Rattus norvegicus: one gene and its partner. The protein of the gene in region 1 interacts with the protein of each later gene in a pairwise test. Links are inferred from orthologs where the notes say so. Each region holds a gene or a part of one and is shown on either strand. Other genes may lie near its edges.

The links.
Region 2: the proteins of Irf9 (region 1) and Irf1 interact in a two-hybrid assay, tested with the Homo sapiens proteins (2 studies listed by BioGRID and IntAct). The link is inferred for Rattus norvegicus from reciprocal best matches to the Homo sapiens genes IRF9 and IRF1.

Annotation. Positions count from the first base shown.
Region 1 is NC_086033.1:33,068,163-33,072,437, forward strand, and holds the end of Irf9 (interferon regulatory factor 9), read left to right. Parts: intron 1-851; coding exon 852-1,196; intron 1,197-2,142; coding exon 2,143-2,258; intron 2,259-2,386; coding exon 2,387-2,497; 3' UTR 2,498-3,719; downstream 3,720-4,275.
Region 2 is NC_086028.1:38,420,669-38,423,239, forward strand, and holds part of Irf1 (interferon regulatory factor 1), read left to right. Parts: intron 1-692; coding exon 693-919; intron 920-1,005; coding exon 1,006-1,138; intron 1,139-1,313; coding exon 1,314-1,436; intron 1,437-2,000; coding exon 2,001-2,050; intron 2,051-2,571. UniProt on the Homo sapiens protein: Transcriptional regulator which displays a remarkable functional diversity in the regulation of cellular responses.

The DNA of each region.
Region 1 (4,275 bases):
CCAATTGAACACTCCGTGTAGCCGACCATACTTTATATAGCTTTTTCGCCCTCAGAAAACAGCTTAAGTACTCTGTTCTTCCAACAGCCACATTGAAACATTTATTTCTTTTATCATCCAGAAAAGTCCAGGCTGTGAGGTTTTCTTGTACACACTGCAGCCATGAGCATTAAGTTCTAATGGGCATGACTCCCAAGTGATGGGGGAAGAGAGGAAAGCATCAATGTGGAGAAGGAAGGCACCTTTCTTTTCTCTTCTTCCTTTTTTTTTTTTAGATTTATTCATTTATTATATATAAGTACACTATAGCTGTCTTCAGGTATTCCAGAAGAGGGCATCGGATCTCTTTACAGATGGTTGTGAGCCACCATGTGGTTGCTGGGAATTGAACTCATGACCTCTGGAAGAGCAGTCGGGTGCTCTAAACCGCTGAGCCATCTCTCCAGCCCTCTTCTTCCTTTTTTTAAAGACAGCCTCATGACGGCAGACTGACAGCACTGTAGCTAAAGATGACCTTGAATTCCTGGTCTTCCTGGGATTACAGATGTGCTAGCATGCTGGGTCCTAAGGGTTTATGCTGATTGAACCTTGCCTGGGCTTTAAGCATGGTAGGCAACCACTGAGCCACATTATCAGATGAAAGGAACCTTCCCTAACCTTTAGTTAGGAAAGGAGGAGCTGTCTCAGCCCTGCTCTCTCTCCCAGTGCTTTCTTGGATTCCTGCTCTGGACCTCAGTTTTCCCATTAGCAAAACGAGCTTCCCTTTTCTAAAGCCTTGTTACTTGGGCTGCCTTGGGGGAGAGGGCCTCCCAGCAGCCTTCAGGGCTCCTCCTGAACCTTTCTGTCCCCAGACTACTCGCTGCTGCTCACCTTCATCTATGGCGGGCGCGTGGTGCATGAGATCCAGGTGCACAGCCTAGACTGTCGGCTTGTGGCTGAGCCCTCAGACCCGGAGAGCAGCATGGTGCAGCAGGTGGTGTTTCCCAGACCTGACCCACTGGAGCCCACCCAGAGCCTGCTGAATCAGCTCGAGAGAGGCATCCTGGTGGCCAGCAATTCCAGAGGCCTCTTTGTTCAGCGCCTCTGCCCCATCCCCATCTCCTGGAACGCACCCGAGGCCCCACCTGGGCCTGGGCCTCATCTGCTGCCCAGCAATAAGTGTGTGGAGCTCTTCAGTACCACATACTTCTGTAGAGGTAAGGGTGTCCCGGCTCGACCTCCCCTTCCTCGTTATCCTGTGCGCCCGGTGGGTTTCCCCACCACCCTCCCCAGCAGCTCATCCTCACTGCGTGGGACCCCTGCGTTGTGTGATACACATGTTCTGTAGCCATATTGTTCCACTCTGCAGACTTCCCCTAGCCAAGGCCACGGTAGATGAGGGTCAGCTGGAGTTGAGCTCTTAAGTGATACGTCTTGGGGAAGCAGCGTGGTTAAGTGAATTTGTACAGTTTAGTTTGCGTGGATTTTTAAGCCCTGTGACTCCTCAGACATTGGCAAACACAGCTCTGTGGAAGAGCCAAGACACCTTACCCACACTTGCCCCTCTCTCCCATCTCTCTGCCATATTGTAAGCATCTTCTAGGACTGTTCCTTCTCCCGTCCACTCTCGAGATTCCAGTCACAGCCTCTAAATGTGCGAGGAGGAGTGGAGAGAGGAACATTGAGGACAGAGTGCTGTCCTAGTATTGGGAGAGCAGGCAAGCAACCAAGGGGTTGGTAGGCAGGGCTGCTGCTTCTGAGGACTTCGAGCCTCTCAGCAGGAGCATCTGCTCCTGTGAACTGCAGGAAGGGGCTGCCTCTTCCTGCAGCAGCAGGGAGAACAGCTTAGTTCCTCGCAGCACCAAACCACAGTTTCTGCTGTGCCCTGGGTGCCGGAGTTACCCCATCCCAGTTTTCTCTGCGTTTGGCTCCCCAGGCAGTGTCACTTCACTCATGGCCCTCTATCTTTTTTGTTTTTGCTTTTGTGGCAAGTCCTCATACCACTCTGGGTGTCCTGGAACTCACTAAGTAGATCAGGCTGCCTCAAATGTGGTGACTCTGCCAACCTCAGCCTGACCAGCGTGCCTGGCCGCACACCACCATGCCTGACCTACTGCCATGCCTTGCCTTCTTCCTTCCAATCCTTGACCCTTTTTCTTTCAGATTTGGCCCAGTACTTCCAGGGCCAGGGACCTCTACCCAAGTACCAAGCAACACTGCATTTCTGGGACAGGAGTCCTAGCTCTAGCCATACCCAAGAGAATCTTATCACGGTGCGGGTAAGTTCAGCCCCGGGATGGAGCTCTGTGATGATTTGTCTCAGATAACTCCCTGAGGGAAGGGGCTGCAGGGTGGTGGCTGTCCCTACAGTGCTCACTGAGGCCGCTCCTCACTTCCTCCTGCACAGATGGAGCAGGCCTTTGCCCGAAATTTACTAGAGAAGATTCCAGAAGAGGAGAAAGCTGCCTTGTTCCTGGTACAGCACACAGAGCACCAACCTGCCACTCTCGCACTCTGATCCTCGGGTCCCCGTTGAAATAGACTTGTTCTCCACACCGTTGGTCTGCCTGCTTTCGTGATGATTCTTATCACTGTGGGCTTTCCAATGTGGCCAAGAGAAAGTGCAAGGATAACTTTTATCTTCAAAAACTATTCTGAGAGCCAGACTCGTTGGTGGATATTCATAATCTCAGCACTGGATTATGAGTTCAAGGACAACCTGGGGGAGACTTCTATTTCCTTTTTCTAAAGCTATATCTTCTTTCATTTCTAAGAAACTGGAAAGTTCCAAAGGGTGTGATCTCAGAGGAAATTTTGCTATCCTCCCAATCCCTAACTCTAAACCTAAGCTGTATGTATGTGTGTATGTATATATATAAATATATATTTCCCCCCTCAGTTCTCACTAGAATAAAATAAAATTTAGCTGGGTGAGGTAGTACACACTCGGCACATAGGAGTGTATGTGCAGAGGCAGGAAGATTGTGAGTTCAAATTCAAGGCCAGCCTTGGTGATACTGTCTGTCTCCAAACAGTAAATAAAAGCTTACTAAGAGAGAGAGATCAGGATCTGATTCGTTAGGAGAGGGTGGCAGGGGTTAAGATGGAGACCAAGGTACCCAGTATCTGGGTTCTCTGTCACATGGTGTTTCTGGGCCTAGCCAGAGTGCCATAGTCTCTAACCCATGGTGATTTCTCCTGCCCTAGCCTCCTGAGTGTTGGGGTTCTGGGTGTACACCACTATGCCTGGCCGTACCCCCATGTCTCCCTCCCTTTACTCTTTTTTCCAGTTGACCTTCCCGCCCCCCTTTTTTTTTCAGACTTGACCTGGTACTTCGAGGGTAAGGGGCCCCCACCCAAGTTACAGGCAACTGAGATTGGATTGGGGTCAACCTCTAAGACAGGCACTGTTGCCTACAGGCAGACAGCACTATAGCCACAAGGCGGTTTGAATGAGATTAGCCTCCATAGGCTCATATGTGAATTCTTGGTCCTCAGTGGACCCACCTGGGAAAGGTCAGGAGGTGTGGCGTTGGATGAGGTGTGTCAGTCACTAGCCATGGGCTTTGAGGTTTCCCTGCTAGCACACTCTCTGTGTCTCGTGCTTGTAAATCAGATGTAAGCTCTCAACCCCAGTACCATTCCTGGCTGCCTGCCTGCTGCTGTGTTCACTGCCGTTTTGGTCACGGACTCTAAGCCTTTAGAAATGTGAGCCCCAAATTAAACTTTGTCATTCCTAAGTTGCCTTGGTCATGGTATCTACTATAGCATTAAAAGGTAACTGAGGGAGCCGCCAACTTCATGTGGGACATTGTGGCTGCACAGTGTTTTGCTAGGGCTTCAGGAATGTGCCTGAATAGGGATGGTCCCCGGACTAGAAGTCTAGACCAGGAGGAGACACTGGAACTGTGGTCCAAACTTCCAGGACATAAGAGGGAAGGAAGCTTGAGGGAAGAGTTGCAGTGTCTGCTGTGTCTTCCTGTGTCTGCTGCTGCAGACATTGTGGGGACATGCTCGTCCTTGGTAACACTCAGTGTGACTGGCGGGCACTTCTAAACTGGATTCCTCTCTACTGAGCCCCACAAAAGGCAATCTGACCTAGGCCAGGCATGGTGGTTCGTGCCTATAATCACAGTACTTGGGAAGTGGAGGTAGGGGATCAGAATCAGGAGTCTGAGGGCTATCTGGGCTACCTGGGATCCTGACTCATTTGTTTGTTTGAGACAGAGCCTCACGGTGTAGCAGTGTCAGGCCCTGTCAGTCCTGGAACTCAGAATCTGCCTGCCTCTGACACCA
Region 2 (2,571 bases), on another chromosome or scaffold:
TGGGGGAGGGGCAGAGGAGAGACAGAGGGGATACAGGCTACCATCCATGCTCTGGGTGGCCTCTCAGTTCCCCGACACAGCGTGCAGAATTATTGGAACCAGGGGATGAGGTGCACCTGTATTTTTAAGGCAAAAATGTTAGAAAGTATGTGTACTTTCAGGGGTCTGTCTAGACTGCAGTTGTCCCGTAGAAAAGACAGTTGTGCATCAGGGTACCCAGACACTTCTATCTTCCTTTCTCAAGGTCCTAACTAAAGGTCCTTGACCCAAGCCCCATCTGGTTGGTGGCCGGCCCCCCTTTCTTCTTTCAGGAATCAGGCACTTGATCCTATTCAGACCTGTTAGTAACTGTCCTTGTTGCCAGCTCTGTGCCCACTTGTACTTCACAAACATCAGATAAGCCTCAGTCCCAGAAGTCTCTGGCTGCTGAGAACGTAAGCAGGGAGACAGTTTCGGTCCAAGACAGTTAGCACATGTATGGGGGGTAGAGACACTCAAGTGAGCCTATTTGAGCCCTTCCCATCCCTGCTGGATATCTGAGCCAACTCTGGGCATATGAGAACCCCCAGGACTTGTTGACAGTGGTTTTTGCTAGTTAACCCCTGTATGGATGTCTGGGGTGGGGTACCCTTGCCTTTCTTCTCCCAGCCCAGAGAGCGGCTGATGGATGAATTTATTCTCCTGGTCTGTAGGCCGATACAAAGCAGGGGAAAAAGAGCCAGATCCCAAGACTTGGAAGGCAAACTTCCGGTGTGCCATGAACTCCCTACCAGACATCGAGGAAGTGAAGGACCAGAGCAGGAACAAGGGCAGCTCTGCTGTACGCGTGTACCGGATGCTGCCACCCCTCACCAAGAACCAGAGGAAAGAGAGAAAGTCCAAGTCCAGCCGTGACACTAAGAGCAAAACCAAGAGGAAGGTGAGCTTGACTCTAAGCAGCCCAGCCTTAGGTAGGGGGGCAGTGGGTAAGTGCCACAGCAGGCCTAAGCTGTTTCCTCTCTGTAGCTGTGCGGAGATTCTAGCCCTGACACCTTATCTGACGGACTGAGCAGCTCTACTCTGCCTGATGACCACAGCAGTTACACAGCTCAGGGATACCTGGGTCAGGACTTGGACATGGACAGGGACATTACCCCAGGTGAGGTCGCCACTGTGGCAAGGGCGCTTTTAGGTTCCACCCAAGAGGCATCGTGGGAACAGAGAAGAGTGTGGGGCATAATCATGGGACTCTGTCAGGGAAGCGTGCAGGGTGGAGGGGCTCAGGTATTGCAAACTAAGAGAGCACGCCCGTCCTGACTTGCACCTTCTCCCAGCTCTGTCACCGTGCGTCGTCAGCAGCAGTCTCTCTGAGTGGCATATGCAGATGGACATCATGCCAGACAGCACCACTGATCTGTACAACTTGCAGGTGTCGCCCATGCCCTCCACCTCTGAAGGTTTGTACTCTTAGGGACTGGCCTGCCTCATGTGCGTCTTGAGGGGGAATAGAGTCTGCCTAGAAATCTATGTGCCAAGCTGGGCATTGGCACCCACCTTTAATTCCAGCATTAGGAGGCCAGCCTTGTCTACATAGTGAGTTCTAGAACAGCTAGGCCTTCACAGAGAAACCACTGTGGGGTGGAGGTGAAGAAACCTATGTGCCTTTGAGCCAATGGAGCCGGGCACTGCTTACCCTATCCCCATAGCAAGAAAGCAAGTTCCTGAGACACAAAACCGTTCAGAGCTTTCATGTGCTCAAGGCCAAGAGGGAGGGAATTGGGCCACATCTTGGTCAAAGGTGGCTAGTGCTCCTGGCTTCCCCGCACTCAGTTGTCTGAGGGTGAGGAAGGAAGTGAAGGGGTGGGATGCGGCCTTGCTCTGTAGTTGGGGAGGGTGAGTCATCAAGCCAGTGTCCTGTTCTGGAATCTCCAGGGCAGGCAGATGCTGGTTGGGAGGCTTGGGGAGGTGGCGGGGAGCTGCAGGGCAAACATTCATGGCCAACCTCTTGTCCCTCCTCACAGCTGCAACAGATGAGGATGAGGAAGGGAAGTTACCTGAGGACATCATGAAGGTAAATCCCTTTGCATATTGCATCCGGGAAGAGAAGGCAAGCTAGGGACAGCTTGCAAGTCACTTAGGGCAGGTGCTGTAATCTGGCTACCTATGCAGTTCCGCAAGTGCCCCTACTTCATGTGTTGGGGGAACTGTTGCCTCAGCAGGTGAGAAGCCTAGTCTCTAACAGGCCATGCTCCAGCAAGCCTCAGGGTCCCAGACAGCTCTGAGTCAGCACCCCCCTGAGCACTGTGTCCTCCGCCCCAGCATACCCAGCCCGTCAGGTTTGGGTAATGCACATCAGGTTTCAATAATCAGCTTTTGGGATCTGTACTAGGATGGCTTTAGGAAAAATAAATAAAACCCTCTGGTTTTTGTTTTTGTTTTTTTTTTCTTAGCAAGTTCTAAATGGTGGTTTACTTTTTCAGCTGCAGTTTTCTAAGTGACCATTAAAGATTCTGAGGTAGTTTTAGCTCGAGTCTGGCCCTTGAGCACCGAACTTTGAGATGTGGATCCATCCAGGTCCTTGTCTCCGTCTTT